Linked DNA regions of Notamacropus eugenii. The protein of the gene in region 2 purifies or fractionates together with the protein of the main gene of each other region. This does not show direct contact. Links are inferred from orthologs where the notes say so. Each region holds a gene or a part of one and is shown on either strand. Other genes may lie near its edges.

What was found.
Region 1: the proteins of MGRN1 (region 2) and MC1R purify together in Homo sapiens (affinity purification with western blotting; 3 studies listed by BioGRID). This does not show direct contact. The link is inferred for Notamacropus eugenii from reciprocal best matches to the Homo sapiens genes MGRN1 and MC1R.

The regions. Positions count from the first base shown.
Region 1 is NC_092872.1:707,868,657-707,875,832, forward strand, and holds MC1R (melanocyte-stimulating hormone receptor), read left to right. Parts: upstream 1-5,314; 5' UTR 5,315-5,395; coding exon 5,396-6,346; 3' UTR 6,347-6,432; downstream 6,433-7,176. UniProt on the Homo sapiens protein: Receptor for MSH (alpha, beta and gamma) and ACTH. The activity of this receptor is mediated by G proteins which activate adenylate cyclase.
Region 2 is NC_092872.1:81,887,812-81,896,652, reverse strand, and holds the start of MGRN1 (E3 ubiquitin-protein ligase MGRN1), read right to left. Parts: upstream 3,667-8,841; 5' UTR 3,465-3,666; coding exon 3,377-3,464; intron 1-3,376. UniProt on the Homo sapiens protein: E3 ubiquitin-protein ligase. Mediates monoubiquitination at multiple sites of TSG101 in the presence of UBE2D1, but not of UBE2G1, nor UBE2H. Plays a role in the regulation of endosome-to-lysosome trafficking.

The DNA.
Region 1 (7,176 bases), about 630 Mb from region 2:
GTATTTCCAGTGCTTAGCACAGTACCTGAGATAGAGTAAATGCTTAGAAGAAATGTTTTTTTAATTCATTCCTTCATGGTGGGCAATACATAACAAATGAACAGTTGGAAGTGGTTTGAAGTATATTATCAGAAAAACAATTTGGGGGAAAAAAAAGGGGCCAGTCATGTAGCAAATATGAGAGACAATTAATGGACCATCCATGTGTTCTGTTGGTATCCCTGGACTTCAGGGGAACTTGAAGAGGGGTCTCAGCAGGTTGAGTGGTGAATTCACCCTCTGGTGAAATTATGGGAGGACATGGATGAGAGCCTTAGAGACTAACCAAACATGGGCTGGTTACCATCTGCATTGTGGGAAGGAGTGTTCACATCTATATATGCTGGAAGCATTAGAGACGATACATTGAGTAGATCTTACAAGTTCCTTTTCTGGCTATTTCACTACTCAGAATTCTGCTCAGGAAGTACATTGCCAATAAAGGGAACCAGAGCAAAAGGAGACAAAACTCAGATCTGTCAGTACCTCTGGTGAAAGACTTAGTAGGAAAGACAGTTGAAGTATTGGGTTGCAATTATCTGTAAATTCCGCTTATATATGTCCTCATGACAATGGGCAAATGCTCTGCCCCTGGCCTTCAGTAGTCCTAATGGAGTGACCATATTTATCCTAATGAAAATTAGTGTAATGTGGCTGTCCTGAGGCAAGATTACCCGGTCTTAGTTGCCCACTGGCCAGGGTTTCGCCAGGAAGAGGCTGCGGTCAGCTTTCTGCCAAAGGTTGTCCCATTCTCACGCTCTTTGAAGTCTATGTGCCTTGGTGGGTGGGGAGCATCGACGTCAAAGGTCTCATTTATGGATTGAAAATATCACTGAAACTCAGGGACAGCTCCTTTCTACAGCAGTCAGAGACAGGAAAGCTGAAAGAGGAGTCCTTTGGTTCTGATTCTGCATCATGCTCTAGATACAAAGAATGATTTGAGTTATTACTGTACTGTTTAGACCTTTAGAGATGAACTGGGATAGGAGTCTCTTAGGCTTCCTATTGGGAAGGAAAAAGTGACAAACCCAAGGAGGGATTGTCTAACCTAGGGGAGCCAGCTTTCGATGGTCCTGATGTCCCAGCATGGCTGCAGAAGTCAGAGGAAAGAGCTGAGAGATCTCAGAGTTCACCTTGACCACCTTTCCCCCTCCTTCCACCCTTAGTTTTCAGATGTGTAACCTCAGGCTCAGAGAACTGAGGTCATTTGCCCTAGGTAACAACTAAATGATTGGGGAATTAGGAAGATAGCATTGGTATGTCATGATGCTCTGGGTTCTTTCCCCTTTGACAATTTCTTTTTAAACCAGGAAGGAAAAGGGTTAAAATGGTAGATGATAGGATTTAGAGTTAAAAGATCAGCTAGACATTATACAAAGCCCTTTACAAATATTCTCATTTGATCCTCACAACAGCCCTGGGAGGCAGGTGCTATTATGATTCCCATTTTACAGTTAAGCAATCAGGCAGACAGAGACAAGTGACTGGGATGGAGGTTTGGGAGAACTAATATGGCTATATGGAAGGGACACATCTCCACGGGATGGTCTGATGCTTTCCTTAGGTGTGTCATAGACTGGAAAAGATTGAGACACAGTGATGTGAAACATGAAATCAGATATTTTGGATGGGACATCAATAATTGAGTTCTGTTTCTAACTGCACCTCTGACTTATGACTTGGAATAAGTCACTTTATCTTTGTCTCAGTTTTCCTATCTGCAAAAATGAGGCTAATAACCCCATTCCTTGTGAGAATCAATGTAATTATAGATGTGAAAATGCTTTGAGCTCTTTGGAAGAAAGACAGTAGGGGTAATTCCCTGTCATCACACTACCCTCCCTGTGGGCACTCTCTGCTCTGCCATGAATGATTTTCAGTGTAACATGCTCAGCTTCTGGCTAACTAGTGCTGGAGCCGAGGAGTCTAGGTTTGATGTGACTCTTTCCCTGGGGCCAATGTGGTCTTGCTGGTCAGTGGAAATGAATGAATAGAGAGAGAGCTGTTGCTGGCCTTCATCCCAAACAAACCCTTGCTTTGGGTTGAGGAGTGTAAGCCAAAAAGTCATATATCAGAGAATGTTCCAAATTACTAATGATAATAGAAATGCAAATTAAAGCAAATCGGATCCCAGTTCACATCCTACAGATGGGCAAAAATGAGACAGGTACATTAATGCATCATTGGTAAAGCTGTGAATCGATCCAACTCTTTTAGAAGACAATTTGGAATTCTAAAAAAATAACTAAACTATACATAACCTTTGACCTGGCAATAAAAATGTTAGGAATATTCCCCCAAGAGGGTCTCAAAGATAAAATAGCAAAGACCTGAAGGAATATAGGTGCCTAAGTTGGGCTGAGCAAACAGTGGAATAGGAATGGAGTGGAATATAATTAAACTATCAAAAATGGCAAAGGGGAAGAACTCAGAGACTTTGGGGCAGATTTGAATGAACTGATGCAGAATGAAGTAAGCAAAGGCAGAACAGAGAGGGAACAAAGGAGAACAACACCGAAAAAACTTCATCAGTGACTAATCCCATGTTCCATTGTGTCTTCCAAGTAAGGGGAAGTGTGCCTCCCATCTCAGAGATAACAAAGGAGAGGTATAGAATGAGACATCAGTTTTCAGACCTGACTATGGCATCAATTTATTTTGCTCAACTAGATTTATTTATTATAAGAGAGGATCCTACTGTTGAGAGGGATGGAATTATTGGGAAGTGACAGTGATATAACAAATGAAAAAATTCATCAATAAAACATTTTTAATAAGAAAAAAGTGCTAGCTACGGATAGCACAATGGTGCATGGCCAACCACCCCCAAGCAAACCAAGCCAGAAGGTCCTCTTGTTGTTAAGCACTCCTTACATGTGTTGCATTCTTGGGCTTATGTTCAGTGGAGGGACAGTTGGTGCATGTTTTTTTGTTCACAGGTGATTGTGCCCTCAATGCAGCCTCTGAAGCTGAGAAGCCACAAAGTATGGACCAATTCTCTGCTGCTTGTGCTAATTTTGGCCTAACAATTAACCACCAAGAAAACACAGGTTCTCCATCTGCCAGCACTACATCATCCATATGTAGAACCCTCAGTTACAGCAAATGGAGAAGTTTTGAATACTGTGGATAAATTTACTTATCTTGACACTATACTTTCCAGGGATGTACACATTGATAATGAGGTTGACACACGCATTGCCAGAGCCAGCTCAGTGTTTGGGAGGCTCCAAAGGAAAAGGGAAGAGAACAGTATTCGACTATACCAAACGGAAGGTCTACAGAGCCGTTGTGCTGACCTCATTATTGTATGCCCATGAAACCTGGACCATTTACCTGCACCATGCCAGGAATCTGAATTGCTTCCATCTGAATTATCTTACAATGATTCTGAAGATCATTTGGCAGGATAAGGTACCAGACAATGAAGTCCTTTCTTGAACCAAACTGTCAAGCATTCAAAATCTTCTGCAGGGAGTACAACTCCAATAGGCTGGCCACATTGTTTGAATGTCAAACATACGCTTGCCTGAAAGATTATTTTATGGAGAACTCACACAAGGCAGATGTTCACATGCTGGTCAGACAAAGCGATACAAGGACACTTTCAAGGTCTCTCTGAAGAACTTTAGAATCAATTGTAAGATAAGGGAGACACTGGCACAGAACCACCCAGCATGGTGTGCCCCTATCAGAGAAAGTGTTGTTGTGCTCTATGAACAAAGCAGAATTGAAATAGCTTGAAAGAATTGTGAGATGTGTAAATTTAGAGAATCCACCCCAAACGTTTGAGCTCATATTAGTCTATTCAGCCACAGTTGGACACACTGTAACTTAACTCTAACACAGTGAGGTCATTTTGTTCCTCTGGACAAGCGTTGCTTCAATGGTATGCACCATTTCAATTTGCAGGTGAAGATGGTCACTTTCTTTTCATTTTGGCCTAGTGTTAATTTTCAGGGTAGAATGTGTCTAAGGTCTTGGGCTAGAGATCTCAGATAAATGAATAGAGCTCTACTGGTTGGAAAAGAGAGGCAAACTAATTATTTGAATAATGAACTGGGACTCTACAATTCTTTCTAACTTCCGTAGTATTGCCGCCTCATCAAATACAATTATGAAGCCCTTTCTCTCCTCCTGGGACTTAAGAGAATTAACAGAAAGGCTCCATATGAGCTTAACCTTTAGGGTTCACAGAATCTTAACGTTGAGAAGGTCTTTGGAAATTATCTCTTCCAAACTGGGACCTCAGTGCAGGAATTCCCTCTACAGTATAGCTGACAGTTGAGTCATCTAGCCTCTGCTCAAATACTTCTAGTTCTGGGAAACCTACTCTAACAAGGTAACCCAATCTAATTTATAGGCAATTCCCACTGCCTTAAAAATCTTAATTTTAAACTGAAGCCAATCTTCCTGTAATAATTCAGTGTTCCTAGTTTGGACCTCCCAGGCACTGCTTCTTTGGGTTCAGAGCCCCTGGTACCAAGTGAGAGTATCCTTGGTTTTACTGTCAGCTACCTGAATCTAGCAGGCAGTACCTACAAGACATTTATGTAAGGTCTTGAACTTCCTCAGCTCTAACAAGTTTCATAACTAATCACTCTGCTGTGCTGGGCATTCCCTGCATGAGCCGCTATCATGTGGTCAATCAGCCTCCTTTGAAGGAGGGGCTCCACAGACTGTCTTTAAAGGAAGGGGGAGAGAGGCTTCATTCTTCACTGGAACATCAACTCCAATCCACTTCTTTGGACCAAGACTGAGGGCTGCGCCTGGAGTTGCCAGGGGATGCAGAAACCGAGGAGATGTGGACCTCATATCCTACTGGCTTGTTCACTTCACCCAGCTAAGGAAAAGAGATGAAAAAGCCAAGAGGAAAAAAAGAAAGAAAGAAAGAAACTTCCGTTCCTGTGGAGCAAAACAACCTGTGGGAGCAGGCAGAAGAGAAAAGTGCACAGATTGAGAATTTAGGTTTGTTCAGGCAGGAAATTTGAGACTCTCTGGGTCCTGGAGTCAAGCAGTAGAGAAAGGATGAGTAGGCAACATTGGACGTGACATGGGTTTATCGCAACCTCCATTGGGCTAATGAGATCAGTAGGATGTCTTTTGATGGGTTAGAGAAATAATGAGTATGCATTGGATTTGGTGGCTGTGATTTTTGTCTGAGACCAAAGGGGGAGGGAGGAGGAAAGAAACATTGGAGATTCCTCTGGACACTAACTGATGAGAACAATGAACTGAAACAGCAACAGGCAGCTGCTGGACCTTGAGAAAGCCCTCCAGGGTAGGAATTTGAAAATTCCAGTTCATCCATGTTGCCAGCTTCACATTCATAGCTCCCTGCTCTTAACCCGGAACTATGCCGATGCCAGGTCAACAGAAGAGATTGTTTAACTCTCTGAACTCCACTTCTCCAGATACCCTCCATCAAGTTATCCCCACCAACCAGACAGATATTCTGTGCCAGGGGTTCTTCATTCCAGATGAGTTATTCTTGACTCTGGGGCTACTGAGCCTGGTGGAGAATGTCATGGTGGTGGTGGCCATCATCAAGAACCACAACCTCCACTCACCCATGTACTATTTTGTCTGCTGCTTGGCTCTATCAGATCTTCTGGTGAGTGTCAGCAACCTGCTGGAGACCTTGGTGGTGCTACTGCTGGAGAAAGGGGTGCTGGTGATGCAGACATCTATGGTGCAACAGCTTGAAAATGTCATTGATGTGTTGATCTGTAGTTCCATGATGTCCTCAATTTCCTTCCTAGGAACCATTGCGGTGGATCGCTACATCAGTATCTTCTATGCCCTGCGCTACCACAGCATTGTCACCCCTTGTCGAGCTCAAGGAGTCCTTGCTGGCATCTGGGTGTTCAGTGCCCTCTCCGGTACCCTCTTCATCTCCTATTACAACCATGTTGTAGTCCTGCTCTGTCTCATTGGCTTCTTCTTGTCTATGTTGGGGCTCATGGTCGTCCTCTACATTCACATGTTTATCCAGTCATGCCAGCATGCCAGGAGGATTGCTCAGTTGCACAAGAGATATACCATTCACCAATTTTCAATCCTCAAGGGGGCTGTCACCCTCACAATCCTGTTGGGCATCTTCTTCCTCTGCTGGGCCCCCTTTTTTCTGCATCTCACGCTTATTGTCCTCTGTCCCAAGCATCCCACATGCAGCTGCTACTTCCAGAACTTCAACCTCTTTCTCATCCTCATCATCTGCAACTCAGTTATTGACCCTCTCATCTATGCCTTCCGCAGCCAGGAGCTCCGCAAGACACTCAAGGAGGTGATTCTGTGTTCCTGGTAAGGGGGTGGGGCGGCATTGCAAATTCCCATGCATGCAGGCATGACTCAGTGGGACAGAGGTGCAAAATGTAACCAAGGAGAGTAGCTTCTCATCTGCAGATGTTCTGGTTAGTGGGCACAACCTGTTCTATCCCATGGTGAAGAGGAATATGCATCATTAGTCAGCCTGGCATCCAACTTCTGAATTGCCTTTTTGAGAAGGATGATGAGATGGAATGTGTGTGTGTGTGTGTGTGTGTGTGTGTGTGTGTATGTATGAGAGAGAGAGAGAGAGACACTATGCACGTGTGCATTTTCAATTTTCAATTTTACTCATGTGCTTAGGTATGCACACACATGGATGCTCAGGTGTGCACATAATATACAACAGGAACAGGAGAACACTCTTCTGCATCTAATCCACTTTTCTCCTCCATTTGAGAATAAGCTTTTCAGCCCCATCCCCAAAGCCTTGAAATTCAGTTTGTTACTGATATGAGTACCTGGAGACCTGTTCCCTCCCCATCCCAGTCTGCTAAGGATACTGCATCTAGGAGGCAGGGCCAGGACACTCCAGATTGGAAAGAAGATACCTCAACAATAGCCTGGAGTCATGAAAAAGCATTTGGAGTATTCCCACCCCTCCTACCTCCCCACCCAGCTCCAAGATATTGAAGACTCATAGGACATGCAGTCATGTGGGATGCCAGTAGTAACCAGGGACAGATGACTGGGAGTACTACTATGGAAGTTCCACTCCCAACTTGGCCACTTGACTCTGACTCCCCTGCTTTTGACCATACCATCGGCTTGTAACTGACTTGACCTGGCTGGGTTAGTGACTGTTACTGA
Region 2 (8,841 bases):
CATGCATATTTACAAGAGAGCAAATTAGATAGAGTTCAGAGAGACGTTTTACTCAAAGAAAACTAGCAATAAAAACATAATGAGCTCAAAGTTTAAAGTCATGGCTATAACCTTCCACTACTACATAAAGCCATCTAAGACTAAACATCATTTTAAATTCAAGAAACTCAACAAGCCACAGCTTGTTCAGGCAACAAAACAACTACAAAGGAGGTAATGTCTACTGAACAGAAGGACACACGCTTGCCCTACCACTAGCTATATGACCATAGGCAAATCCCCTCATCAGTTTTCTCTTTCCAATGGAAATGACAACATCTGCCTTACCTATCACACAAGAATACTGTGAGGATTTAATGGGACAATATATCCCAAAAAAACATTTTGAAAAGTGTGATGTAGTCTTTTGGTTTGTTTTTTTAAACTGAGCACACAAGTTTCCACTGAACGCATCTATCTTCCCTTAGGGCCACTTTCAATAGTACGGTTTCAAGCAAAAGATGGGTTTTTATTTATATATCATATTACATGTTTATTATATATAAAATTTTATATATGTATATGTATATGCATGTATGTAAATCTATATCTATATATCTTCAGTACCATGCCCCCAACTAATGTGTGGTCACAAACACTTCACAAGAAGTTATTGTGAGGAATTTCATAAAACAGGCCAAGCAGGTCCCCAAATCTCAGACCAATAGTTCTCCCTCTCTTCACTCAGGAAGGAAGAAAACGTATCACTTTGTGTCAGATCTCCTGACAAATGTCCCACGGACAGACCCTGCCACTCACCCCCTCACATAAGGTAAGTAACCACTTTATATCAAAGGGGTGATAGAGAGTGTCAATTTTAATTTATGACCATCTAAAATCCTCAAGAGTAGGCTGGGAAAAATTTGAACTAGTAATTAAGTTTTTAGTACTTATTTATAATGCTAAAAGAGAGGTCAGCTAACACTTGTGATTTCTTAACCCCAAGAAGAGAGAGAAGGAAACTGAGGACATCTGAAGAAAAGGGTCCTAAGTTTCTGGATTGGCCATACTGTATCATCCATTCAACTTAGGTTTGCAGCTATTGAAAATTCTCTTGCAGAATTTGGAAAAATCCTAATACCCACTTCGCAGACAATTCCTCATCATGCTGCCTATGCTCCAGTCATCAATCTCATCTTAACTCCATTGCAGCCTTGAACTTCCCTCCTAACTCCTCTAGTTCTGAAAGGCAATCATTTGCCTTACCTTGCTAGGAAGCAGGCCTCCACAACACTTCTTAGTCACCTCCATACTAGAGTATGTATCTCTTACTTTCTAACTCCCATTTACATGACATCTTCAGTCAGTAGAATAAAAGTTCCTTGAAGGCAAAGATTGTTTTTTCTGCTTGCATCTGTATCCCCAATGCTTAGCATAGCCTCTGGCACATAATGAATAACCTATCTATCCATCCATCCATCCATCCATCCATCCATCCATCCATCCACCTCTCCAATTCTACATGGTAGGAGCCATGAGACCCATACAAGAGACAAGGTCTAGGAAGGGAAACAATCACAGAAACTCTCTGTGACAGAAAGCAGATCAGTAGAGAAAATTATTTGAAAATAACGCATGAGTCTTGAGATTGGCAGACCCCAAAAGGGGAGTGATCATTCTGAATCCTTAAAATCACTTATATTATATACAGAACTGATTACCTGACAAGGCAAAGAGCATCTGGTGCCAGAGATTACAAAAACCAGGGACTCCTTTGGCTTTGCCCAGTGTGAAAAAACAACAATCAAAAAACGCTTTTCATCCACTTTAGAATTCTGAGATAGATTAACTTTCTTTTAAAGAATGAACTATTCATTCTGTGGCAGATGTTAGGAAACTTCTGATCAGTTGCAATGAACCCTGCACAACCTAAGGCTGATAACAGAGCAGTTTTGCAGTTGTCTCTCTGGCACCGTGTGTGGTAAGAGAGTATAAAGTACATGGACATATCCACTATCCTTCAGCACGACCACCTAGGGACACAAGGGCACTAAGATAATGGCCAATGAATTTCACCAGGTACCTAGAAGCCAAAACGTTCTCCCTGTGCCTGAAGATCATAGCAATATCCTGGGAAAAAAATCAGCTTTCCTCACAAATCCAGTCCCTCCCCTACAAACAGTTCCACAGTGCCCTTTTACTATCCTCCCAAATCAGCACCTTGTTCAAGGAATATTTAAAGCATGGAAGATTTGGGGGAATCTGAGTTCCTCTATACCCACCCCCTATGGCTTCTTTTCTTTGTTTTATTTGTTAATGGCTATGAGAATAGGCCCACTCACCCCTATCCCTACTTTTGTGAGCCCTAGAAAATTTGAAATAATGCCCAAATTTTGCCAACTTGGATCTGCTGCAGTGGGGGAAACCCCCGAAAAATGGCAGATTGAAGAGATCTGAGCAAAAGGAAAAATACTTTGGGCTCAATGACAAATTGGCTGAAGGGAAAGATGGGTAAGACTATGGACCTAGAATTAGGGGAAATTAAGGATGGCCAAGTGGCATCCACAGCGGCTCTAGTAGTATTTCAAGGAGGGGTAGGCACAGGGCCAAATAGATAGGACGCCCCAATAATAACCTCAAAGTCTTCATTGAGGTGGTAGGGATTAGATAAGGCTCCCTACCGATGGGGACAAAGTACTGGATAAGGAATCAGAGGACCTTCAATTCTGACTCCCACCTCCTTTCTGTGTGACCTTGAGTCACTTAAGTCCCAGTGACTTCAGTTTCCCCATCCGTAGAGGGTCACAGCTGAAAAGTCCCCTCTAAGTCACAATCTATGAGGGCTCAAGGATGACAGCAGGTGAGCTCCAGCGCTCCTAAGTCCTGGGAACGGATTCACGAAACCCAACCACAACCCAGAAGCTAGAGTGGCTTCAAATGATACCCCTGCCTTCCAGTTTGGTGCTAGCCTGAATGGTTTTTAGGGATGTTTCCCATTGGGGCTTTATTTAAGCGGACGAGGGGGGAGGGACGGCCTCTCTGTCTTGGCTCCAGCTTGGCAGAAGGTGAGTATTTGGGTTCTGCGTCAATCAGTGGGTTTCTTATTCCCGGGTCAGGGCCAGAAGCCTGAGGACAGTGGGGGTACAAGGTGCCCACCATGGCACCACGGAGGAGCCTGCCCGGGATGCACGCATCCAGATTGCTGGACCAGGAATCTGTCCTCGGGCCGGGGCCCCCGGGTTGGGGTTAGAGAGGGCCACAGCAGGGGGGAGGGGGCACAGGGGACAGCCCGGCCAGGAAAGGCCACTGAGGGCGGGGAGGGGAGCACGAGGAGGGACCGACAACGAGGCTCTGCCGCGGGCCGGCCGGGGCTGGGGAGGAAGAGCTGGCTTCTCACCGGACTTGGGAGGGTACCGATAGGCCGAGTTCGCCTGGATGTCGATGTCCTCCACCCCGGCGATCCGGCGGCTTAGGATGGACCCCATGGCGCCAGGGGTGGAGGGAGGGCTGGCAGAGGCTCCGGACGGCCGCGGGGTGCCGGGAGATCCTCACACGGACATAATCCGGCTGCGGTCCAAGCTGCCCGGCCCCAAACACAAACACCCACTGCGACTGCGGCGACAGCGGCGGCGGCGGCGACGGCGGCGGCGGCTCGGCCCCCTTCTCCCCACCCCCATCGCGACGGCTGGCCGCTACGCCACGGCCTTCTCTCCTCCCTCTCCCTGTCCCAAAGAACTATGGGAAAGAAAGTTCTCTCGCTGCTAAGGGTTCCGCCTCACAACGCGGAAATCTCGCCCTTGGAACTACATGTCCCAGAAATCCCCATTACCGGAGGCAGCCAGGCTGTTGACATTCTCTCTGGGCTATACCAAAGGGACAAAAACGGGAAGGGGACAAGCAAACCATCTTTACTCAACCTGTGCCTTTCGCTACTTTCCTTCTCCAGTTATAACACACCGACGTCATTTGTGATTTTACCTTACCATGCTCTTTTTGAGGGGAATATCCATTAATTAAAGGTAACCCTTCCGATTACCCCCCACCATCAAAAGTCCCCCCTCGTTGCACCAATGGTTCCCTCCGCTTGCCAGTGCCCCAACTCTGCTTGCGAGGACCAGCAGAGGGTGCTTGGGCACTTTTCACCTTGTAAATGAACGAAGACGGTGGGGCCCAAGCCGAAGTTTCCAAGATGACCTGCGGAAACTCAGCGAAGATGGTTTGGCGTGACCGCGATGGCACGCATGATATTCAGATACAGCTCTGAACTGCCCCGAAGCACGTCCGGGGAAACGCGCGAGAGGAAGGCCATAGTTCTCAATTAGCAGATCGACCCACGGAAGGACAGAAACCATCGTCTTGTGACCCTGGCAGAACTGGAACCGGACCCAGGCGGCCAGTTACCTCCGAATTCCGCGATCGGCCGTGGGTCGACCCGCGTGTATTCAGCTCCGCCCACGTGCTAGGCACAGTGCTGCAGCTAGGCAAGGCTTGGGAGGAGCTCAGCAATAGTGGGCTGTCATGATGCCCTCCCCAGATGCATGCGGATCGAAACCCATTTAGGACTCGATGGTTTTCCAGAATGACTGTGGCGAAAAACGAATCCACCCGCAGACCCTCCGATTTTATTAGGCTGGTTCTGGGACAGCCCCCCCTCCCTACCAGATCATACCCGGAGCCTTGGCAGCTTGGGGAGCTCCACCAGCCAGGGCTTGGCACGGAGCTGCCTTAGCCTGCAGGAGTTCTTCATTGCCTCTATCTGGCCATAAAACATAGGACCTCGGTCTTGAAAAAAATCACATCGGTGTTATGACTGTAGACTGAGCCAGTGATGGACAGATGGAATCCAGTCTGTCACGCAGGCACCCATGGAGATGACATTGAAACTGTTGGCATTCTACAAGGAGCCCATAGGCTGCAGATTGTGCAGGCTTGGGATGGAATTCAGTGTAAAAAGATCAGAAAGGCAAGAATGCCCAACAGAGCATCTCGTATTGGCTCCTGGAGGTAACGAACAGGAAGCCACTGGAGTTTGCTTATAGATAAGGTTGTCATGCATGGGATATATTCCAAAATAGCCAGACCCTGTTGTAACAAAATGGCTAGCATCATATACAGCACTTTAATGTTTGCAAAGCACTTTATGTACACTACCTCATTTGTAGCACTTTCGTTAGGGATGGATATAACCGATAATTAGAAATATAATAACATAAACAGGTAGAATCAGAGTGTTAGAGCTGAAGGAAATATCAAGCATCTATCTAGTCAGTCCCTTTCGTTTTACAAAGGAGGGAATATAGATGCCCTAGAGATTAATTTGCCAAACATCATGCAACTAGTAACAGACAAAGATGATACACCATTCATGAAAATTTACTTTTCAAGCATCTTTATTACAATTAAATAAATAGCTGGATAGAGTAGCAGTCTGTCTTTAAGGAGTTGATGATCTAGTTGGGAAGAAGATAACTTATATGAAATAATAATGTAATATAAAAGGGAAAAGTTATTATAGAATAAGGTTAGGCTAAGAAAGCATCATAGAAGACTGGTGCTTGGCACACAGTAGGCACTTAAATGCTTGTTGATTTGACTTCTTGACTAGAGAAGGTCAAATCTTGAACTGAATCTTAAAAGAAATGTAGGATTTTGGTGAAGAAAATCTTGGAAGGCAGAGATGAGAACTGCAAACCTGCTAAAGCTATGGAGAAGGAGAAATGGAAGACAAACAGTGGCTATCTTTATCCCTTATCAAAGCTAGAGTTCCTAGGAAAGGCAACAGAAGAAAACGTTAAAAAGATTAGCTAGACTGCGTGGTACCCACTGGATCAGGAGAGAGTATGGGTTTCCAGGGTTAACAGGGTATCCTGTCAGCATTGAAGAGAAAATTTTAACTATTTCAGATCTTCAGAGGCATAAGAAACAACAGAACCATACAAGAAACATACCAAAGTAGGAGATGGCTTCCCTTGTGTTTTAATCCTAATTCTACTGACATATTATGTGACCTTTAGAAAATCTCTGGCTTCTTTGTGCCCCAACCTACTGCCTTAAAGGTTCGGATGAGGTGAGGGACAAAGGTGAATAAATATGCACCACCAAAATGTATAGAGTACTTTGAATTAATAAAAATGCTGGTCTCTAGGAAAATAAAAAGGACTGTTAATATTGGTTTAGTGTTATTCATAACACAAAATAACACAAACCAATGCCTGAATTTCCTTGAGCAGTTTGTGCTTGTACAGCCCACTTAACAGGGCAGGTGGTAGGATGGAGGAGAGAGAAGGGAGCTGTCGGTGCCTGGAAACAGCTGATGGTACCCACAGTCTGCTGCCATCATGCACAAAATCAGCCATAGAGAAGGGCACACTCAACCACTGAAACCTGGGGCCCCTCTGTCAGGCCCCAGCTTAGCTGACTGAGGAATCCAAAGTCCAGTCTCCAGGGCAAATCGTTACTTGCTGAAAACAATTTTGTTTTCCTTTCCTGTCACACCCCCTCCCGTAGGGCCCCCATGTTTTTGCTGTCAAGTTGGTTACCACTGGATCCAGTGGGAAAACAACCTAGCTCAGAGCCCTAGAGTAGGACCCAGGCTTGTGAACTTTGTTTCAATAAATACCACCCAGAATGAGGGCTGACTCACAGCCTGGGAGAGTTTCCTTTTTTCATTGCTGGCACCCACTTGCCTGGCACCTTGTGTTGCCCCTTCAAGAAAGAAAAACAAATTATGAAGAAGGGTTCTGCCTCCTTTGAGAAGAAAAGTGTCTTGTTGGACTGCTTGCCTCCCTGGCCCTCATTCCCACCCTGTGGTAGCCTGGTGATCGCCTTTCTCCCACCCTTTCCCCACCAGCTTTGCCAGGAGAACTGGCTGCCCTTCAGTTCCCTACACCAGATCCTTGCCTGGCAGAGGCCTCTCTGTAGCTCGCCAGGGCTCACTGAATTCATGCTTTGTTCTCACAGACGCTGCTGAGGCTTTCATTTCCACGTCTCCTGCCTTTAAAACTGTGGTCTAGTATCTTAGGGAAATCTGGTCCGAATTCCGGTGCTATCACAATACCACAAAGAGGCTAGGCATTCCTCAGTGGCGCTATCCACACAAATGATGGTAGACACAATAAAGAACCAAGTTTAAATTCTTGTATAGACAGGATTATTCTCGTTATACCTGGCAACTCCACATGACAGATAGCCTTGGTTCTTTGGAAGCCTCTTAGGCCTTTGCTCCCAGTTCCTGCCCCCTGCTTTCGGAGATTCCAGAATCAAGCATTCATATCTGCTTGTCATCTGTTGCTGCTTAGCAACCCCATTTTATGCCCATCACTCCATCCCAATCAGCCCACTGTGACTGGCAGATTTCTCCTTGAATCCAGAATGCCAAAGGTATGCAAAAATAATGTTCCCCATTGTCCCTAGAGACTTTTCAAAGCCTAGCCAACCTGACTCTTCCATGTCTCCTGTCCCTCCAATCAGTTACTTTTTAGGAAGAAGCCTGTTGGAGTTGTGGCATTTGAACTCCCAGGTGAGATCTGTCTATGTAGCACCTGAAAAGTAATATAATCAAAATGATTATAATGTAATCCAATTGAAAACATTATAATTTTTACAACAGTTATTTCTCCTCAAAGCCACTCCTCACCAGCCACTGAGCTGTTGTGTTCCAAAGAGCAAAGAAAAACAACTGAGCAAAACATAGTGATTATATCTAAAAAAATATATCACTTTCCACATCAATAGTTAGCTGAGAGGAGGGAGGTGCTCAGCAAGCCATGTATTAAGTGTCTACTTCTAGGTACTCTAGGAGCTTATACTTACGGATACACGTAAACTGATCAGCATTTATTAAACACCCCAAGTCTGGCAGGGGGCTAGGCACTGGTCATAAGAAAACAAGGACGAAACAAGAGTTGTCCTCAAGAGCTAATGTTGCATGTTCAGGGAACACAAATGACAAGTAACATAATAATTTAAGGAGCAAGGAGAGCACGTTAATTGCCAAGGGGATCAGGGAAGGATTTTTGAAAGAGGTGTCACCTTAAACTTGGCCTTGAATGAATTTAGGGATTCTAAGAAGTAAAAATGAGGTCAAAGTGCATTCTAGGCATAGGGGTGGAAAGATAGCTCATGCAAAGCCACGGAGGCAGAAGATGGAATGCCAAGTTTTGGGAATAGCAGGTAAACCAGTTGGGCTGGAATTCAGAGCATAGGCTGGTGAGAGTGTTGGTTCAGCAGCCAGAAGATCTGGGGTCAATTCCTTATTTTGATGCTTATCTCCTGTGTGAACTTGGGCAAGGCAACCTCCCTAGGCCTTTTTGCCTCTGTAACAAAAAGCAGTGGCCATTGAGGTTTCTTCTAGTTCTAGACTGATTTTTCTATCTATGATTCAGTAATGAATAATGTGAAATAAGCAGGCTGGAGCCAGTTTGTTAATGGTTTTAAATGCCAAGCTGAGGAATTTCTGTTTCTATCTTGGAGGCAAGTAGGGAGCTATAGAAGGTTCCAGAGCCAAATAATCATAAATTACCACTAAACCCTACCTAAGGACCCCTGGAGGTGGCATATTGCCTTAGTTTAAAAATATAATATGGTTCATGTTTTATTGTATCTTTATTTTTTATTATTCCCCAATTACATTTTAATCTGGTGGTAGCTGCCATAGATTATATAGTGCTGTAATTCACAAGAAGATTTCATGCCTCTGTTATGTAATTTTTTCTTCCAATAGTTAGACAGGACAAATATTGTTATTCATATTTTACAGATAAAGAAGTTGAGGTTCAAGAAGGAAAAGTGAAAAACTGATAGATGGTAGGCCCAGTATTCCTAACTCCAAATCCAGTGCCTTTGGGAACGTGATCCTTGGGA